Canis lupus familiaris: one gene and its partner. The protein of the gene in region 1 interacts with the protein of each later gene in a pairwise test. Links are inferred from orthologs where the notes say so. Each region holds a gene or a part of one and is shown on either strand. Other genes may lie near its edges.

Region 1 (10,826 bases):
AATTTTCCTAGTATCTGAGCTCCATCAGGGCTCAAGGGCAACTACTCAAACTGCTGCACTATTTTTTTTTTTTTTTTAAAGATTGCATTTATTTATTCATGAGAAACACACAGAAAGAGAGAGAGAAAGGCAGAGACACAGGCAGAGGGAGAAGGAGGCTCCATTCAGGGAGCCTGATGCAGAACTCGAACCCAGGACTCCAGGATCACGCCCTGGGCCGAAAAAGTAGGCGCTAAACCACTGAGCCACCCAGGGATCCCCGCTGCACTATTTTTTAAGTGCATAATAGGTTCTGGTGTTCAGACTCTCCTTTGTGGCCTAGCAGCTCACACTGTGCTTTGGGCAGTCCTGGCTTTTGGCCTCGTCTGTCTAGATTACTACTGCAGCGAGCTGGCGCAGTGACAAATTCTAAGCTCCTGAAAACACTGACATGAAGACAAAACCAGAACTGGCCATCCAAAACTATTCACAAGTGTTCAACTGTTATTAATACCATCTGCTCAATGTAGAACAGCTATAAATGTCACAAACAGTTAAGATACAAACTTTAGGGAAATGGGTTAAAATGTGTGAATTCAGGAAAGTAATCCTAAAAATGATGAAATGTTAGCACAACAGAAAATGACTCTCAGAATTAAAGGAAACACTCCCATATAAAAGCCAAATGCTTCATCGTTCATACTCATAATGTATTCTTTGTAAAAATAAGACAAAAACTCTTCATTTAATCCTTAAACTTTCAAAGATTAGGAAATTCTAGAAATGCTAATATATTCATATTTGCTGATCTTTTTCCAAGAATAGTGTCCCATAAAACTTGTTTTTGATACACACACACACCTCCACTGGTTAAGAACCAGAATCCTAAGAGCTCCAGGGAGACTGTGATGTGCAGCCAGGTTGGAAATCAGTTCTAAAGTTCCCTATGTGTGGCAGGTAGCTTGTCCTGCATAGGGAATAGAGAAGGGAGCTCAGAGAGGGCTGGCAAGGTCACTCACCTCCATCCATGTGCTTCAGTGCCTTCTCGGCTTCATCTGGATTCTCAAACTCCACGTATGCATAGCCTTTAGACAGATGGGGGTGCATCCTTTCTACAGGCATGTCAATCATTTTAATCTTCCCATAGGTGGAGAATATCTCCATGATGTGGTCCTAGAGCAAAGACAGGTCACTCTGATGCATACTCACAACTACCCATGTGGGAACTGAAAATGCACGACACATCAATAGCCTTGGCACCTGGGGTTAAGTTTCTCACACAGGGTCACCCTGAGGGAGTTACTGCTCCCCTTGACAAACGCTCTGGTCAGGCCCTGGAAAGCCTATGCCCTCAGTTCACCTGAGGCTGAGGCCTGCTTCTCTAGTTTTCCATTTAAAACATATGTAGAATAGACATATCCCACTGCCCACTGGACAGATCCAGGATCCCTCACCTTGGTCACATTCCTGGTGAGCCTCCCGATGTGTACTTTGGTGGGTTTAGGGGAAGGACTCCGCCTTTTCCTTTCCTTTTCATCTCTTTTGGGTGGTTTGGATCTGATTGAAGAAACAAAACACCAGAAACAATCAATTTCTGTCAAAATTTTTTAGTGGGGCTGCTAATTGCTACTAAGATAGTTTTTATAAGGAAGCCTTCCCCTACCAGTTCATGTATTTCATATTAGCTCTGCTTCAGAAATCCTACTAAAATAGAAAGACTCCTTTTTAGATCTACTTCTATAGTAACAAGAATAACTTTATCGTCCCCCATTTGTGAACTTAGTTTCCCAGATAATTCACAAGTTTTGAGGGCAATCCCTTCCCAACCAAGGCACTCCTGAGTTGAGAAGAGGTGCTGGAAAGGAGCTTACTTGGAGCGGGAACGCCTCCTGTTGTCATGCCTACGCCTAGAAGGACTGGGTGAGCCAGAGGAGCTGCTGGAGCTGGAACTGCGAGATGTGCTGGAACTTCCTGAGCGGCTAGAGGCTGAGGAAGAGCTGGAGCCACTGCTGGAGCCTGTGCTGGTGCTGGAGCCTGAGCTGGAGGTAGAGCTGGACCGGGACCTGACAAATGAGACGGTGAGGTCAGGGGCAACAGTGCACGAGAGTATTTCTTCCCACACATGAGCCCATACTTGCTCCTATTCCCAAGAGGTAAATGTCCTCCCATTTCCAAGCTTCAATGTCTCCCCTCCTCGGAGGGCCCCACTCCTGCCCAGCTGAAACCCCAGGTAGGGACAGAAAATCACACTGTGCAGTGACAGGAAAGAGCCACCTCCTAGCCATACAGGAGCCTCACCTACTGGGAGGCACAGAGTCTGGCAAACCAGAAGCACCAGCCCTGCCTGGATGGTAGCTACCCAGGGACTCGGGCTGGTTTTCAACTGAGGGAAAAATAAGCTTTAGGCTAGAGCAATCCAATCACAACTCTAAACAAAAAAACACTCGAGAGAAACTTATACCCCAAGATGTCCCAGTCTTTAACATCTCCAGAAAACACCTCAACACCATCTTCCATATGTAACCAGAGCAAACTCAAACCACTCTGCCATAATCCAGGCCTTGATGAACCACCTCAGAGTATGTTGGTAAATTACGAAGACCACAGAGCACCCTGCCAGCTCCCTGGGAAGGGAAAGGGGCGTGGCCACAGAAGAGAAGCCCTCTCGGGTGCTCAGGGGTGCTCTGTCCTGCCGGGTCCCACCTGGTGCTGCTGCTACCACTGGAAGCGCTGCGCCTCTTCCGAGTTTTATCCCTGCCACGATCCTTCTCACTTGACTCCTTGGTGGCCCCTTTATCTTTAGAACGATCCTTGGACTTCTCATCAGAACGGTCTTTGCGTTTGGTAGGAGAAGGAGCCCTGGATGGTGAGGAAGAGTGTGAGATCGCATGCCCCTCTGACCAAACCCTAAAACAAAACTACCCAAAAGAGGGGATCCAAAGGGCTATAGAGATCCCAGGTGATCACAGAGCAAAATGATCTGTGGCTTAAGACACGTCACTGTAGAACGTAAGTCATTTCCATTCTTCCCCTTGCTGAGGGTCCCTAGTAATGAGCACCCCCAAAGTAGCACTAGAAAAATCTGACAGAAGGATTACCTAGTGCTGGACTTTTTATTATTTTCTTTGACTCCTAGCAAGCTCTTCTTTTTCACTCCTGATAAATCCATTCTCCCCTTCTGAGGTGTTCAAAGCAGCAATGGTGGCCTCACTTATCTGAACTCTCACTTCTAACTCGAGTCTGAGAAACGATCCCTAATCGATTGCAATTTACGCCAAAGTGCAGCCTAATAACAAGATAAAAGGATTTACAGAGTGAACGAGTTGGCAAGGCAACAAATCTACTTTGCAGTCAAAAGGTGAGCACACAAGATGGCAAGGAACACAGTAAGCAGCGAGCGTCCACAAAGCCAGGAACATATGGGATCTCCTCCATTTCCTCAGGGAGGGTCTTGCCCCCACAGGTAGACCTTCACCTCACCTTGTTGTTTTTTCCTTAAGGAAAGGGTGGTAGTGCCTGTCACTGTTCTTTTACAGGTGGTACAATACCTGTTTTTCACTCCTAAGTTTGATAAGCCCTTTACCATTCCCTTAGAAATGTTACAACACCACATTTGCATGCAGAACAGAAGAGTCAAGTGTGGCTCTCCTGATAGGATCACTGGTGTGATTAGATCTCAGGTTTTACTGCTGCAATTTCTTTGTAGGATACATCGAACATACCATGACTAGAATCAAAAACCATTTCAAAAGTGACAAGTACCAGCATCTAAACATTAACACCCAAATGCAAACAGATAAAATGTCCCATAAGAACACTGAAAAAGTAGTAAAATAGTTAAGTTAGAAAGCAATCATTGCAAATGCTGAACTTTAATTAATGATATGCACATGGAAGCGTCATGGGGAAAGTACACCAAAGCCTGCTATTTACTTCAAAATGCAACAAAAAACGTGGATGGGCGATCTGTTCTATGACAAAGCAAATATGGCAGAAATGTAACTTGTAGGTTCTACGTGGTGGTTATGCGGGTATTCACTGGAACTGGAGGGCACTGCTCCTAAGGGTCTCACCAAGTGCCCGCACCACAGCATGAGTTGTGAGTGGTCAGTGTAACCACCAAACCATCATGTGCCTGGTCTCCTGGGGGACTCGCGACCTTCATTTTTTCCAGGGAGGTTTTTCTACAATTTGCTTGAGCTGCAAGCGAAGATTGCAGAATGGTGGTGTCAACTCCTCCTGTCTCATCTTCAACAGCCTGTCAGTAACATCGACATGGCAACCACCCGGGATCCTGTTCTCACATGTGAAGGGGTGTGCAAAATGCTAAATGAATGTCGTGACTCAAGAAAGGAGGCCAGCTTTGGACAATCAAATTAGAGCAGAAGCAAGCAGGGTGTCACCTTTGAGGCTCCTCTCCAGGCTGGTACAATCTTTTAAGACGTTTTGCCTTGGAACAGTAAGGTAGTAAGCAAGCAGCACTGGATGGAGTCAGTGGCCTTGGACAACCAGGAAGTACGGTCCAGTGGGCAGGAATCTGGAGTCAGCCTGCCTGTCTGATTCCAAGCTCTGCTTTGGGACCGGGGCTAAGTCCCACAGCTGTTCTGAGTCTCCACCTCTCATCAGCGTTTTGGGGGATACAGCTCCTACACCTCCGTAGTTACCAAGATCACCAACCCAGTTTACTCACATGGAAGGAAACTTGGCATCTAGTTAGGGCTCAATTAAATGCCCGCTCATGTTACAAGACAGGGGTGCTCCTCCCCGTGTGCAGGCTTTCCCCTACATAAACTCTTGTTTCCCAAAGGCCCACACGATCTCCTGAATGCTGGACGGCCCGTTAAGAGGATCACCCAGGGCGGCCCTGTCCCAGGAGAAGAGCGTGAGCTGCCGGCACGTCCTCAAGCACTCCAGCAGCCCCGTTACACAAGGAGGTTAACGAGGGATCCAGCCAAGTATTGACACCCCACGCCCCCAATACCATCTCTCCAACGTACAGGCAGTGAAGACCCACCCGTGATACACTTACTCCCCCGCGGGCGCCAGACCTCTCCAACACCTCCACCCGGCCCAGGCCCGGGCCCAGGCTCAGGCTCAGGCCCAGGCCGGGCCGCCCGCCTGCCGGGGCAGCACCCACGGCAGGGCGCACCCCCGGGCCCCACCCCAGGGCCCTCCGACCACCAGCACCACCCGAAGCCCCGGACTCTAAGCGCTGCGGGCGCGGCCGGGCCTGGGGAGCAGAGCCCGCGGCGCTCTGTCCACACAAGTTCGGGTCGCGGCACAGGACCTGGGTTACCTCCCCCATCCTCCGGACAGGTGCGCGTCCAACAGCCAGAGAGAGAGAGAACAGTTAGTCACACCTCGAGCAGATGGCGTTCGGCCCCGTCCTCGGGGCACCTTCCCCACTTAAAAAGCACGTTTTTGGCACAAGTCATGCGACAGCCAAGAAGGGCCGCGGCCTCCCTTCCTTCCCGCGCCCCCCTCGTGGGGCGGCCCGCCCGCCCGCGCGGCAGCGGCGCGGTCCCCGCGCCTCCCGGGCCCCCCACGGGGCAACTCCACCCACGCCGCCCCCGTCCGCCGGCGCCCGCAACTCCCAGCCCAGGGCCGGCCCGAGGGCGGCTCCGAATCCCGCGGGCCTTGCCGGGGCCGCCGCAGGGGGAGGGGGCCGACGTGAGCGCCCTTCCGCCCGCCGCGGCCCCGACCACTTCCGGGCCGCGGCCTCGGCGCCTCCCACTCCGCCAGCCCCGGGCCACACTCTTTCTTCTCGCGCCCGCTGTCGCGCCGCCGGGCCGCCGTCCCTACCAAGAGGCCGAGGGGCGGGCCGGCTCCACCACGCGCCCCGCCGAGCCTTGCGGGCGGCCCCCGGAGCTCGGATGGGGTCGGATTCCCCCAACTTACATCTTCCCGCCGCCGCCACCTCCGCCCGCTCTCCTCAGCCTCGAAGGCCGGCGCCGCTCTGGCGTCAGGATTAGGGAGCGGGAAGGCGCTGCTCTCCGGCGCGCGGCGATGACGTGACCGCCTCAGCCAATGGAGGGAGCGAAGGGAGTGTTAAAGGGCCCCGGCCGTTCCCGACGGGCCGCGTCGGGGCCTCGTCTTCTGTCTCCCCCGCGAGGCGGGGATCTGGGGCGACCCTGGGCCGGCTGCGTGCCGCAGGGGGCCGGCCGACTGCTGGGGGCGGGAGGGCCGCGCAGGGCGGGCGGCTCCGGGCCGGCGCCGAGGGGGTTAACGCAGCGGCGGCCCCGCCCCCCCGTTGCGCGTGCGCACTGGACTAGCAGCCCGGGTTCCCGCTCCAGCGCGCGGGGCGGCGGGGGCGGTGAGGTGGGCGGCGGGGACAGTGCGGTGGCTGGCGGGGGCCGGCGGGGGCAGTGCGGGGACCGGAGGGGACGGTGCGGGGCAGGGCGGGGGCGGGGCGGGGCAGTGCGGGACAGTGCGCGGCCCGACGGGGGCAGTGCGGGGGTGCTGAGGGCTGTGTGGCCTCTGGCTGCGGACTGTGGGGTCTCGCGGGGCGCCAGCTGCCCAGAGAGCTGGGCAGGAGAGGTGCGGAGTGCCCACGCGGTCGTTGGCCCTGAGCGTGGACAGGGGCAGTGCTGCCATCGCAGTGGGGAGCGAAAGACCGGATAGAAGAGAAGTTGCGAAAGGGCAAGCACCCCGGAGGAGGAGGGGGCACTGCGCCAGACCAAGACCCGAGGGGAAGGAGGCGCCCGGTGAGGGAGCAGCAGGTGCAGGGGCACGAAGGGGGCTCGTTGAGGGGAGGCCAGGGGGCGACTCGCAGGCCAGGGCCGGGCAGGTGAGGTTCGGGTGCCGAGCGGGAGCCTGTGCAGCACCCCCCCACCCCCACCCCCACCCCACACCTCGCGGGGGACAGTGCAGGCAGGGAGGCGGACTCCTCTGTTGAAGTACGGCCCGGGCCAGGCAGGAGGCTGGGAAGAGTAAAAGCCGCGCCGAGAGGGCCAGAGCTTTCGGGGTGTGTTCCCCGAGGTGTCTCCCACGGAGTCCCTGCCCCAGTCTGGCTACCGGTGGTTACCCCAGGACTGAGTGGGAGGAGGGAAGGTGCACCCTGCCCCAGTGGCTGTCTGCACAGGTAGGTGCATCAAGGAGGAGAAGGGAACAGATCCAAAGCAGATCTCTTGGAGGAAGGAGCTGTGGTGACTTGGAGATGGATTAGCTGCCGGGGCGGGGGCAGGAGAGTCCGGGTTGCAGTGTGGTGACCAGGGATGGATGGACAGACTGTGGACACCGTCTGCAGGCCATTGCTCTCTGCTCTGTATGGTTTTCCCAGCACATGGATGGTGACGCCCTTTCCTGTGCAGCTCCTCTAGCCTGGTCTGGTGGGTCAGTGTACCCCTATACCTGATGGAGGGGTGTCTGAGAGTCACCAGCAAAAGAGCAGGGAAAAAGCAGTTGCCTCCTGAGTCCCTGTTTGCTAAGACACCAGGACGCTCTTGGAGAATGAGCTGGGTTGGCAGGCAGAGTGGGTCTGAGCGCAGGTCCTCCCTTTGGATTTAGATCTGCCCTAGAGTTGTGGGGGTCCATTTAGAGCAACTTAAATTCTCTGCCTCATTGTTACCGCTGCCATGGCCAGGTGTGGAGGAGTAAGTGGGAATGGGGGACAGTCCCGGCTCGGCACTGCAGCAGTGAAGGGGCCCAGAGGGTCAGCACTGGGGGTGGGGTGGACTTGGTGGTCCAGGCCTATAGCCAGTGGAGGTCTGTGAGGAGGCCGTGGCAGCCTGTCAGCTGCACACGCCTGGCCCAATCATTGGTGCGTTCCTGAGGGCCTTGATCCGGAGCCTTTGCCCAGCCCTGCGTGGTGCCAACACCCTAGGTGGGGGAGCAGGCCAGGGGCCAGGAGCTCCATGTGGCCATATGGGGGTGGGGACAACCAGCTGGGCTGACAACCCCTTGTGTCTTTTTAAAATGTGCTAAACTGATAGAACTTGGCATGCATGTAAATTTTAACATGTTTTATATTAAATCTAAAGCATGATTTATTCAGACACATAAATTTAATCATATTTGTTTCTAAATATTATAGATCTTTGTTATCAAGTGTGTTATCAGCTGTTGAGCTTTAAAACTTGAGCATCTTGTCTTGTGCCATTTTGAAGATGAACAGAATGTGTTTGGAAGAAACAAGAAGTAAAAACTGGAGGCCCTGGCCGTCCAGGGGTTCTGGCTTCCCCCTTCCTATGCCCCTGTGCTAACCCACCCAGGCCCTGGAGGGGAGGACTGGGAGGCTGGGTCCCCAGGAAGCTTTTTTTTTTTTTTCCAAGATTTTATTTATTTATTCATGATAGACATAGAGAGAGGGGTGGGGAGCAGAGACACAGGCAGAGGGAGAAGCAGGCTCCAAGCAGGGACCCTGATGCAGGACTCGATCCCAGGACTCCAGGATCACGGGCCTGGACCAAAGGCAGGCGCCAAACCACAGAGCCACCCGGGGATCCCCTCCCCGGGAAGCTCCGAAGGACTGTGGAGCAGGTGTGATGGTGGGGCTGGGGCAGGGCCCTGCGGACGGGGCGTTCAGCGGCCAGCCCAGGCCTGGAGCGCCAGAGCACAGGCATCCTGCAGGCTCTGCCGGTGTCCTGAGCCCCGGGGCTGAAGGCCACCTGTTGGCACGTGGAGCTGGTCTCACTTTGGAATCAGAATGTTCCGTCGGCCTGCATTCTCTGTGGGCCTGATGGGCTCTGCAGTGCCTGTCCTTGGAGGCTGGTGACCTGGGACACAGCGTTCAGTGGTTACCTGGATTGTTCTGGAGGTCACGGTGGGGTATCCAGGAGCCACGTGGGCATCGCATTCCCTTGTAAACCACGTCAAGAAAGCATGTCTACCTATCACTAAGAGTCTCTGTGCTGAGGGCAGCGGTGGCCCAGCCAGGCTGCACAGAAGGGTTTGGGTGGCCGCAGGGAGCTGGTGATGGCTTGGTGACAGCTTGGTGACCTTGAGGGAGGCATTAGGAGAGGAGGCGGATTGCCAGGCCTTGGCGATGACAGAGTGAGTGCCTGCAGCCCCTGAAGGAGCCCAGGAAGAGGCACTGGCTGGTCCTTCTGGGTGGCCAGGCTGGTGTTAAAGGGCCAGGCCACCAGTGAGGGTCTGAGTCGTGGGGAGGCTTCTCCAGCTCCAGGCTCGTGTCTCCAAGGTGTGGGGTGTCAGGTCCCGAGACCTCCCCTCTCCCCCTGCCAGCAGGCAGCAGACACCTCAGGACTCTCCTAGGGGCTGCTGAGCAGTGAGCTTAGGGGCTTGTGCTGGTTTCCATGCCCAAAGCCCGGTGTTTGTTTCTGCCCCAGGGAAGTCAGGAATAGTGACAGCACAGCTGTGGTTGTCACAGGGAGAGGGTGGGACCCAGCCAGAGCTGGATATGGGGCAGTCTAGCTGGGGCGCCGTAGCACTAGGTGAGCTGAGGGCCTTGTGGCAGCGTTGGCTGTGGCCAAGCCACCTTGGCCCCTGTCCCTGCTCCTCAGGCCCTCGTTGCGCCATCCACAGCCAGTTGACTTGGAGCTTCTTCAGCCTTGGAAGCGTCTGGTGCCAGCATCTGTGGGGTGTAGGCCGGGCCCCGAGAGCGGGGCCTGGGCAGCCCTGTGTGTTGAGGAAGGAAGGCAGGGCCCCCGCTCCCCGGGCCTGACCCTGTGGCTTCAGCTCCTCCACATGCTGCTTGCGGCCTAGGCCACGTGGGCCTGTGCGACAGGGATGGGACTCGGGCCCAGCATCTTGCTTCCTGGTGCTCTCCTGAAGGGTGGTGGGGGCCAAGACCTCTGCCTTCTTGGGGAGCCTCTTGGCCCACCTTCCCTGAACCCCCTCGTGCAGTGACCCAGGGGGCTTTGCCCTCCTTTGGGAAAGGGAGATAGGGACTTGAACCTTCCAGGGTTTGGAGTTTGGACCCGAGCCAGGGTTCAGGGAAGGGGCCTTGTGTCTGTAGAGTGCGGGGTCACGTGTGTCCTGATGGCCTCAGCTGCGGGGTAGGTGAGCGGCCTGGGCCTGACTTTGGTGTTTGGGGTGCTTCTTAGAAACTCTGTGGGTCACCTCCTTGATGCAGGAGCAGATTGGGGATTAAGCGCTCTGGGTCCAGGTGGAGCCCAGGCTGTCTACCCAGGGATGTCCCTCTGTGTGCAGGGAAGGCTCAGGCTTTTGTTGTGGTCACAGGGTCTGGGCGAGCAGAGGCAGCCCTCCCTTCACACTGACCAGTCCGTGTGGGAGTGGGGGTCTCAGGGGACCCGCTGGTTCCCAGAAGTGAGCCAGACAGCAGCTGGTGTGGGGTGTCGTGCAAATGCAGCAGCCTATTCGGTTGCCCCGGCCGGTGGTCTAGCCCTGGGCCGGTCATTTGGAACCCTCCCCGTCATGACCAGGCTCTGGCTCCGTAAGTGTTGGGTCTGAGCGCTCTGGGGCTTTGGGCCTTTGCTGTCTGTGTGGTCGAAGAAGTGCCCGAGTTCAGCTGGGCTCACGTGGGGCCAGGCCAGGCAGAGTGGTCATCCCCAGGCAGCTGTGGCCACCCCTGGGCCAGCCTTCCAGCTGCTGGCCTTGCCTCACTGCTCTATCGGCTGCCTTGTGAGACTGGGCTGAGGGTCCCTGAGATGCAGTTGACCTTGGCTCCCCCTGGAGCTCGACTGAAGATCTGGGATTGGCGTTTGCCCAGCAAAAAACTGTGCAGTTTGCTCTTCGGTGGCCTTGCATCCAAAGGCCCAGGACACGCCATGGGGGGCAGAGGGGGTCCCAAGGGTATGGTCACTTCTGTTCTGTGGGGCTCCGTCAATGACGCAGGCAGCAAAAGCACACATGGCGGGGACTCGAGGACACTGCAGTCATGGTGGAGACCGGGATTGTGTCCTGGAACCTGGCTTGTATCTGGGGTCCCC
Region 2 (10,893 bases), on another chromosome or scaffold:
TCTGAAGTGGGGCAGGGGTCATTTTTTAAGGTCTCACCACTATCTGAATGAGATCTCTCAAAACAATTCGCCTCATTTTGCTTTGATTACTCATTTACTAAGCAACTGCCTGATCTGTTTTCCAGACCTGCCAAAACAGTTGTCTTGGTGTATACAATCTGAGCATCCTGGCTACCAAAAATGAATCTGTTCCCCCCACTCCCTGCCTCCCAAAAAATGAATAAATGGTTTGGTTTGCTTGCTTTCTTATTTTTTACTCTTGTGGACTAAAATATGTTAATTAACTCTGGGATACTAATATATTTTTAAAAAATATTTATTTATTTATTTATTAGAGAGAGAGAGAGAAAGAGAGGCAGAGACACAGGAGGAGGGAGAAGCAGGCTCCACACAGGGAGCCCGATGTGGAACTTGATCCCGGGACTCCAGGATCGCGCCCTGGGCCAAAGGCAGGCACTAAACTGCTGAGCCACCCAGGGATCCCCTGGGATACTGATATTAAGATTACGCCCTTGAGGTACCTGGGTGGCTCAGTCTGGTTAAATTTCAGATTCTTGGTTTTGGCTCAGGTCATGATCTCAAAGTCCTAAGATTGAGCCTTGTGGAGGGCTCTGTGCTCAGATGAGAGTTGGCTTGAGATTCTCTCTTTCTTCCTCTGCCCCTCACCCCTACACTCGTGCTCTCTCTCAAATAAGTCTTAAAAAAAAAAAAAAAAAGAAAAAAAAGAGGGGCAGCCTGGGTGGCTCAGCAGTTTAGTGCAGCCTTCTGCCCAGGGCATGATCCTGGAGACCCAGGATGGAGTCCCACACCGAGCTCCCTGCGTGGAGCCTGCTTCTCCCTCTGCCTGTGCCTCTGCCTCTCTCTCTCTCTCTCTCTTGTGTGCCTCATGAATAAATAAATAAAATACTTTTTTAAAAAAGATCACAGCCTTAACTGTAATAATCACCAAACTAATGTCATCCTGGTAGACCTTAAAAAAGAGCCACTCAGGGATCCCTGGGTGGCGCAGCGGTTTGGCGCCTGCCTTTGGCCCAGGGCGCGATCCTGGAGACCCGGGATCGAGTCCCACATCGGGCTCCCTGCATGGAGCCTGCTTCTCCTCTGCCTGTGTCTCTGCGCCTCTCTCTCTCTCTCTGTGATATCATAAATAAATAAAAATTAAAAAAAAAAAAGAGCCACTCAGACTTTTCCTGCTATATTCTGACCTCATGATGGACCCCAGAATCTCTAATTTGGTTACATCAAATACAATAAAAGAAGCCAAGAGAGGAGCAAGAATATCCTATTCATTCTATATTAAATTCTACTTGTATTCATCTGAACATCAGAAATAACTGCCTGAAAAAAAAAAAAAAAAGAAATAACTGCCTGAAATTGGACAAGAATAAATCAAAGCAAATTTACAATTTTCTTATTTTTCTGGAATGAAAATGTCTTGAAATTAATTAATTAATTAATGTCTTTTCTGCTACTAACCGAGTAGCACAGTGCTAAAAACTGAATAAATTTGTTGAAATAGGGATCCCTGGGTGGCGCAGCGGTTTGGTGCCTGCCTTTGGCCCAGAGCGCGATCCTGGAGACCCGGGATCGAATCCCACATTGGGCTCCCGGTGCATGGAGCCTGCTTCTCCCTCTGCCTGTGTCTCTGCCTCTCTCTCTCTCTCTCTCCTCTGTGTGTGTGTGTGTGTGTGACTATCATAAATAAAAACAAAAATTAAAAAAAAAATTTGTTGAAATAGTGTCTTTTTTGGTCAGCTTCTTTGGTCATTTTGAAAATAATCAGGTTCTTTTTTTTTTTAATTAAAAGCCCAGTTTCAAAAATCCCACTGATGGATAATCAATGAAGGATATTCTAAAAGATAGATAATCTGTCCTTCCCTCTAAAATTTTCAGAGGTCTCTTAGCTTTGGGAATCTACAGACCCCTATAAGAATCTAACTAAAAATTCAAATCCTCTTTGCAGAAAAAGTACATGCGTGTATATGCATAATTTTGGAAACCATCACAGAGTTCTAGAACTACCAAAGATCCTCTATGAATCTGTTCAGGATCAAACTGAATTTTTTATTTCGGGATCACTCAGAGACATTGGTAAAATGCACTCAATCAACTTTTAGAACGAAGAAAACATGCCCTTCTCCTAAACAATGTACTTATTTTTTAATCTCAAAGGCACTTAGGATTTTGAATATACTTGTGTTCCCTTCTTTCCTATGACTTCTGGGATGACTGGAGTCAAATTTGCAGTCCATCTTTAGTAACTGGGCAGGCAATTACCTCAGGCATTTTGTATAGTATCCTTATCCATGACTTCATCTTAAATTCCTCCCCTCTTATTTTCCTATTCCCCCTGAGTTCTTGGTACAGTTTTAATAATGTTCTAGGTTACCTCTGTAAACTGCTTCACATCCTTGGGGACCATTGCAAACAAATACATACTATGAAGAAAATCCTCCGTAAACTCAGAGTGCAGATGTTTTAGCATATTTATGACGGCAGGGTTTTCTTAAAAGTTGAATTCATTACAAATATTTTAAAATCCCAACATTTTACATAAAAATCCAGATTTCAGATATCTCTGAAAAAAATGTTAACAGGTTCTTATTTCCCTGGGCCGCCATGCAAGTGGGATCAGTTCTGAGCAGCAACTGTGGTCTCCAGGGGTCACAGTTCTAACACATCCCCCCAGCTCGTTTAAATATTACCTGAGAGGCTCGGGAATGAGGTCAGAAAGAGGAACAAACTCCAGGATTCTGCCAACACACGCGCGCTTTTTCTTGTTTTTTTTTTTTTGAAAGAGTTGGATACGTAACAGGCACAATTCACTCTTCAACCTTTCAATGGACCTCACCTCTGCGCTAGGCCCAGTGATGGGCGATTAAAGAGAAGCTGAGGTCTCAGTCCTAGTTGACTGGTCAGGGCTCGGCCACCGCCACTAGGTCAAGGCGTGTTGAGCTGAGCTATACAAAGTCAAGTTCTGAGCCGGCGGTGGAACCGGGTCTAAGCTGGGTTGCCCTAAATGAGACACTTGTCTGAGCAGCCCACCGCCTGAGACCAGAGGGGGCAGGAAAACAAAATCACTACTCAGCTCGGGACTGAAGCACCAACAGCGGAGCTCCGGGACCAGCCTCCCTCTACGAGGATGTTCCCGTTTCCGGAGCAACCGCCAGGTCCCTCCCCCCTTAGCTCCGCCCCCAGCAGTCTTTCCCGCCAAAGGCCGTTAACGCCGCAGAGCATCGTGGGACAAGGCTCCAGGCTAGGTTTCACCCAATGCTTTTAAGGCGCGGACTTGTTTTAAAAGAGACTCATTCCTGAGAAAACGGACTATCCTTTAAGATTCGTCAGGGATTAGTAGCTCCGTGGACGAGGGATCTCTGTTTAATTTTTACCAAAGGGCCGGTCACGTCATTTGCGAGCCACTCCACAAATCCAGAACGCGAGGAACTTTTTTCTCCCTTCGCGCGGAGGGTGACGTCGCGCATGCGTGAGCGTACCGCTCGCAGCACCCGTTACGCTCTTGCGCGTGCGTACTGAGGCCGAATAGCAGCTTCCTCCCGCTTCTCTTCCTCCCTCCCCCCATATCCGTGCGCCGAGCTGATAAAGGCGCCATTTTGGAGGGGCCGCGGGAGACGTGGTGTCGCTGCGGGCTCGCTCTGCCGTGCGCTAGGCTTGGTGGGAAGGCCTGTTCTCGAGTCCGCGCTTTTCGTCGCCGCCATGTCGGGAGGTGGTGTGATTCGTGGCCCGGCAGGGAACAACGACTGCCGCATCTATGTGGGTAACTTACCTCCAGACATCCGAACCAAGGACATTGAGGACGTGTTCTACAAATACGGAGCTATCCGCGACATCGATCTCAAGAATCGCCGCGGAGGACCGCCCTTCGCCTTCGTTGAGTTCGAGGACCCTCGGTGAGGCGGCCTGGGCCTCGCCGCCTGGAGGCAATAAGTTGGAGTAGTTGGGGAAAGGCCTTGTTACCGAGAATGGGGAGGTGGGCTTTTAGGTTGGGGGTAAGACTGTGTCGCCCATGCAGGAGTCGAGTAAGAGCCGAGTCGATGTGGTTTCTCTGGTGGCTGGGCCCACGGACGTCCCCAGAGTGGACTCTCCGTCTCGGAGCGGGAAACTGAGGCGCCGAGGGCTGGTGTAGTGGTCGGGAGCCTGGCGTGCTTCTGGGTGGGGGAGGGGCCATTCCTATTATGCAGCGCATGTGGGCTCTTCCTCGCTGGGTGCGCATGTGCGGGGGCCGCTAGTTCCCGACTGAGTTAGCTGCCCCTCCCGGGCCTTACTCTTACACCTCTTGCTTTCTCTGATCACGCAGAGACGCGGAAGACGCGGTGTACGGTCGCGACGGCTATGATTACGATGGATACCGTCTGCGGGTGGAGTTTCCTCGAAGCGGCCGTGGTACAGGCCGAGGCGGCGGCGGGGGTGGAGGTGGCGGGGCTCCCCGAGGCCGCTATGGGCCCCCATCCAGGCGTTCTGAAAACAGAGTGGTTGTCTCCGGTGAGTTTTCTGTTGGTGAGGGTTGTTGAGGAGGGACAGGAGCCACTTTTAAGTGTTCCCTTGCGTGAGTGGTTTTGACAAATGCCTGTTTTTGTGGTAGGTCTTAAATTTAGTTTCTCGGGTGAGTTTAGTAAAGGATAACCGTAGTGGAGGTGTACCAGTGTGCTAGTTACCTACCATTAGGTCGGATGCCTGGACGATGAAGATCCTTACTTTACAGAGAATTTGGGACTTTGGATTCCAGAATCTTAATTAATGGCTCTCTTACCTACGATCTTGAATCTGATTAATTTTAAAGTGGTTTTCGTTCTAGTATAGATTTTAAGTGTAGTGTGAAATTTAGGGTGATTGGTATTGAAAAAATACTTTTTTAGGACTGCCTCCAAGTGGAAGCTGGCAGGATTTGAAGGATCACATGCGTGAAGCAGGTGATGTATGTTATGCTGATGTTTACCGAGATGGCACTGGTGTCGTGGAGTTTGTACGGAAAGAAGATATGACCTATGCAGTTCGAAAACTGGATAACACTAAGTTTAGATCTCATGAGGTAGGTTTTACACTTACTCTTTTCTTTGGCCAGAATTGGATACAGTGGTCTTAACAGTGGAATTTGAAGGTAAGATTCAGGCAAGGGTGTCCAAGTAAAATACCAGATTTCTGGTTTTAGTTACATTGTATTCGTTCAGCATGCCTGAAGACAGGTGAAAGCTTAGATCTTTCAATCGAAAGTTCTGTCTATTCAATAGGGAGAAACTGCCTACATCCGGGTTAAAGTTGATGGGCCCAGAAGTCCAAGTTATGGAAGATCTCGATCTCGAAGCCGTAGTCGTAGCAGAAGCCGTAGCAGAAGCAACAGCAGGAGTCGCAGTTACTCCCCAAGGAGAAGCAGAGGATCACCACGCTATTCTCCCCGTCATAGCAGATCTCGCTCTCGTACATAAGATGATTGGTGACACTTTTTGTAGAACCCATGTTGTATACAGTTTTCCTTTACTCAGTACAATCTTTTCATTTTTTAATTCAAACTGTTTTGTTCAGAATGGGCTAAAGTGTTGAATTGCATTCTTGTGTAATATCCCCTTGCTCCTAACATCTACATTCCCCTCATGTCTGATAAATTGTATTTTAAGTGATGTCATAGACAGGATTGTTGAAATTTAGTTAATTCTCCATGCTCTTCAGACTGTGATATTGTGTAAATGTCTATTCTGCTCTGGTTTGTGTGAACTGGGATGTTGGGGGTGTTTGTGGTTATCTTACCTGGGGAAGTTCTTATGTTTATCTTGCTTTTCATGTGTCTTTCTGTAGACATATCTGAAGAGATGGATTAAGAATGCTTTGGATTAAGGATTGTGGAGCACATTTCAATCATTTTAGGATTGTCAAAAGGAGGATTGAGGAGGATCAGATCAATAATGGAGGCAATGGTATGACTCCAAGTGCTATTGTCACAGATGAAATTGGCAGTATTGACCTTATACTAAAAGGCAAGGGATAAAAGTGATTATATATATATATATATATATACATCTACCTTAAAACACTTGCAAACATCTTGTGCAGTTATCTTTAGCTACAATTGCTTTGCTCTTTAAACCTTGGCAATTGTGGCAAAATTACATTGCCCATTTTGTAACAATTATTTTGCTCCCTTCCCCCCTTTTTTGTTTTAATAGGGACTAATGTGGGAAGAACTGGCTAATTTGTCACAGTGCTTAGTTACAACTGTTAATGTGTGACCTGCTGTTGGTGTACATGTGGGTACAGGGTGTCTTTAATTCCAACCAGATAGAGTATAATATCAATACTGCTAAATCTGCATGTCCTCTGTGTGACTGATATAGCGTTGCTATTTCATTTTTTTAAGACAAAATGAAAGCAAAATAGAATTCCAATGTATTGGTGTAGATAATCTAGTTGGGAATATTTTTAAGTCTCACCTTCCCCTTTAAACTAATATTCATAATTGACTCATGTTTAAAACACTTTAATTTACAAATTAAATTGCAGATGGGAGCATTAGGTTTAGTTTAGCCTTAGGGTGGGTAGCAATACGAGTAAACTTTTCAACTACATAACTTTTTGCAACCACAAAACCTGTAATACGCTGTACAGTAACAAGTGTTGGCATTATCAGTTGAACTGTAAATATAAAATGCTTCTTCCAATTAGTCTCTATGATGATTAAGTTTCTAAAATTTATCTGAACACCATTCAGAAACTTGTTTTGGGGAATTTGATAGTTATTGATGTACATCTGTTAAACTGATGACAGACATAACTCATCATTCCCCAGAAACCTTTTTTGATTACAGTATCTAACATTTTGCCTCCTCTTTTTTGGTTTTGCTGGTTATAAAGGTTTGGATTGGAGAGGGCTCACTGGATCCCAATCCTTGGAGCTGGATCATTGGATTCAAATCATAATGTGGATAGGATAGGGAGGATGAATTACAAGGATTCATGGAGCGGGATCAGATTACCAGGAACATAGGAGTGGATTCCTGCCCCAACCAAACCGCATTCGTGTGGATTTTTTTTTTTTTTTTTTATTCAACTTAATTGGCTATTCCAAAGATTTTTTTTTTTTTTCCTATTTTTGACGATTGGAGCCCTTAAGATGCACGATGGAATTGTGTTTTGCATTTTTTGGTAAAAGGAGCAAAGCGAGGACCTGGAGATAATACGCTGGAGCAATCTCCTTGGAAGGATTCAGCACGAGTAGATGGTAAACATTTAAAGGGGAAAGGGGGGGTTTGTTTAAAATAGTAAATCAGTAAGTCACTTCTAAATTTAAAAAACAAAATTGGAGTTGAAGAATAAGTAGGTTTCCAATTGGCTATTGCCGTTTTTCTTTGAAAAAAATAAACATTTTTTAAAAAACTATGCATGGTTGTCCTTTTTCCTCTTCATGTAAAATTTCAGTTGGGTGACTAGTTTATCAGTTAATACTTTTGATGAGATTATGTTGTGTGTTAGTAAATTAAAGGTTCTTGAAAGGTAATCTAGTAAGTGGAGTTAGCCATCTCTTATTGTTAATTGTAAAAGACTTCTGGGGGAGATAAGGTTAAGAATAAGGCAATTGTGTATATAATATGGTAAATGGGGGGTGATCTAGTTTCTGAAAGATAATCTTCCCATACTTTGATAAAAATGATTAAATTTATAGATGTTTAATTTTTGGTGATCATCTAGACAACATAGGCTTTTATGCAAAATTGGGTAGTGACCAGTTAATGTTAACTTGGGGATAGCCTTTGAGGTTTTCATGCTCTTCTCAAAAATTGGTAAGTATTAAATGTTAAATTAAGCACAGATTAGCACCCTTAACACAAATTACATTTTTTTCTGAAATGTGAATAATACACTAGAATATTAACTGCTTATTTGTCAATAAAAAGCTGGGCTTTCTTTAGAATTTTGCTTTGCAAAACCCTTCTCAACCATAAGCTGATTCTGTATCCAAAACCTACCAAAGCAGTGATTTATATCTTAGTTTGCTAGTTGTTGTATCTTTTTATTTCGATAGCCCCTTGGTGCTATATTTTCATTTGAGTTGGGGGAGGAGATTTTTACTTAAAATCCCTAATCTTTTTCTTTTGATTTCCTCATAGCTAGTCAAAACCATCAAAACACTTTTTTCTGCACCCAAAAGAAATAACTAAATCTTAAACATTTGCCTTGGATGCTAATCAGAGCTGGAAGCTGAATTTAAGACCACTATGCAGGTGACATAATTTGAAACCTTGGAAAAACTATACATAGTCGTGGTAATAGAAGAAATGGGCCCTAAGATATTTACATAAGGACACCCAACCGAAACATTTAGATGAACCTTGCGGAATGTAAGGAAGAGAATGGGATATTAAGTTCAAAACTTAAGAGTCTCCTTTAAGTAAAGAACTTGGTTGGTATAAATTAAGGAAGTTACTAGTTTTTATGCAAGGATTTAAAATACAACAGTCAAGAAGTGGAAAGATTTTTACTATTTGAAACCTATGTTTCATGTATAGAATATAAATATTTTTAAATGACTAATTTTTGAAATGTTAGTATGAGTTAGACTTAAGCATGTGTTCATTAAATGTGTTGGAAACCAAGATAAAATTGCCTTCACTGAAGATAGTGCATTTAAGCTAAGTTGAGAGCTGTGCTCTACTAAAAGTTTAAGTAGTCCCAACCTCAGAATAGACGTGGGACACAAAATATTGTCTGATAATAAACTGAAGATTAGAGAACTTGGCTGCATATTTATAGAAGGTAGCCGGGTACCAGACCAGGCAGCTAAAACCTCTGAGGGAAGATGCAGACTTTGTTTTTCAGTCTTAGGAAAAGAACCTTAATCTTTATCCATTTTGACAGCTATTTAAAGAACGTCAGTTTTGGAACTAAAGGTGGCCCTGAATTGTTCCCCTTTTCTCCCTATTTATGTTCCTTTAGAATAGTGTAGGGAGCCTGTAATTAGTTTGTTATTTTCTAACCAAGGAAAAACTTAAGAAGCAATTATTTTTCATTAACATCAGATTGAATAACACACCTTGCTGTTCAGCCCACATCCTTCTGGAAGCAAAAGGTAAGAAACCCATTTTCTGATTCCTAGTTTTTTGGGACCTGAATTTTATTTTTAAAATTGGTTTAGTAATTTTTTTCAAGGACTGTATGAACATTTTCTTCGTTTAAAAAGTTTTTCCCCTAAGTTTTATACCCACATAAATCTTGAGTGCTCCCATGTCCATTTATTGTAGTCCTTAAGTTCAATATGATTCTAGAATTTCAGCTTTCTTAGTTTTATCTTTGAAACTTCTGGCTCATTACGACTGGTGTGGTTTTTTTCCTTCACATTGTCTATGTAGATCAATTTCTTAGATGTGTCTTTTTATTTTGTATAATGAAGTTGTACCGCAATTACAATTTAAATAACTTTTATGTATGTATTTACCATAAAGTATTAAAGAAACTATTAGACTGACGTTTTGTTGTAACATAACCATCCTGTGGTTTCATTTAGTTCCATCCCAGTATGAAGAGTACAGAGGCAGAAAACAGGTTCACAATCTCTTATCCAAAAAATTCTGAAAACGTTAAATGTGAAACCTGACCAGAATCGATGCCTTTGTTTTGTACTTATGGGGACTACATGGTCTTAGCGGAAATACTGAGGCTTCATTACACAGTTGGCATAGGCTTTGCTGGGGCTGTTACATGATATGGACTCTACCATACTTTATAAAGTGAATGGCTCAATTACAAATATGCCTGGTCCCTTGAGTTTGGATAAGAGATTATAGAACTCTAATAGAATATAGAGCTAAAGCTTCTGTGTAATTTTGGGCGTGTGAATAAAAACAAACCTGTTAAATGTGGATCCTTTATTAATGGAGATCTGAGTTCCCCGACTTTTTTAGACTGAAGCAGCCACGAGAAAAAAGGTATGACCCACATTTCTTTATATTCTGTTGCTATAGTAGACTCACAGTTGTACTCCACTGGAGGAAATTACTCTGCCATCCTAGTGTATGTAGTGGTATATTCACTTTGAGGTAATTTTTTTTTTCAGTACTTTGCAGGAATATTGATCACTATGATCCTATAGGAAAAGCTGGGATTGGCATGAAGTGATGAGATTATAATTTTGATTGTTTATTGAATATAAATAGTCCTGGCAAAAATTTGCTTTAAGTAGAGGCCCAATGAGTTACAGTTAGACGAGCACTTATTCCTGTGATTGAGGACTTTGGGGATGCTTCTTGATAATTTCAAAAGCTATATGTGAAGGTGGTGGTGATTTTTGTAGGGATCAAGGAATTTTTCTATTAAAAAAATTATCTGGTGCTTCGTAGTACCCCCCCCAAAAGAAATTGAATAAATTAGTCTTTGTCATGTAGAAGTTAATTTAGTTATAAATAATCTCACAGTAATAAGTTCTTCAGCTGGGCTATTGGAGAGAGAAAATACATGCATGCCATTGCTTAAGGAGTTGCTGTTTTAGATGGGTGTACAAAACAACAGACAGATGAAAATACCTCTGGTCTTGAGTTCGGCAGATCCTGGGAGACTGTTACCTATCAACTATTGATAAGAACTATCAGTGTGAAAATAGCAGAAATTGAGAGCCTCTCTAGAATGCTATACACATTCAGTATGAACAAAACAATTTAAAAGGGTTGCCAAATGTCTAGTAAGTTTTTTTTACCATGTTCTATTGCACTCCATTGTTAAGTAAATGCTAGGGAAAACTGTGTAGCCACTAGAGGGAGTTATTGTACAAAATCAACCAGGAAAGTATCCCTACTGTAAAACAGCTCTAGAGAAGTGGAAACCAACTCCTTTTTTTTTTTTTTTTTTTTTAAGATTTATTTATTTACTCAAAGAGAGAGAGGCAGAGACGCAGGC

What was found. The genes of interacting proteins can lie anywhere in the genome.
Region 2: the proteins of RNPS1 (region 1) and SRSF1 interact in a two-hybrid assay, tested with the Homo sapiens proteins (2 studies listed by BioGRID and IntAct, with this or other methods). The link is inferred for Canis lupus familiaris from reciprocal best matches to the Homo sapiens genes RNPS1 and SRSF1.

Annotation. Positions count from the first base shown.
Region 1 is NC_049227.1:39,159,795-39,170,620, reverse strand, and holds the start of RNPS1 (RNA-binding protein with serine-rich domain 1), read right to left. Parts: upstream 6,018-10,826; 5' UTR 5,880-6,017; coding exon of another isoform or gene 5,878-5,879; intron 5,359-5,877; exon of another isoform or gene 5,340-5,358; intron 3,266-5,339; 5' UTR 3,149-3,265; coding exon 3,078-3,148; intron 2,839-3,077; coding exon 2,683-2,838; intron 2,043-2,682; coding exon 1,851-2,042; intron 1,537-1,850; coding exon 1,434-1,536; intron 1,153-1,433; coding exon 999-1,152; intron 1-998. UniProt on the Homo sapiens protein: Part of pre- and post-splicing multiprotein mRNP complexes. Auxiliary component of the splicing-dependent multiprotein exon junction complex (EJC) deposited at splice junction on mRNAs.
Region 2 is NC_049230.1:32,648,399-32,659,291, reverse strand, and holds SRSF1 (serine/arginine-rich splicing factor 1), read left to right. Parts: upstream 1-3,566; 5' UTR 3,567-3,714; coding exon 3,715-3,908; exon of another isoform or gene 3,909-4,315; coding exon 4,316-4,500; intron 4,501-4,874; coding exon 4,875-5,047; intron 5,048-5,246; coding exon 5,247-5,441; 3' UTR 5,442-7,386; downstream 7,387-10,893. UniProt on the Homo sapiens protein: Plays a role in preventing exon skipping, ensuring the accuracy of splicing and regulating alternative splicing.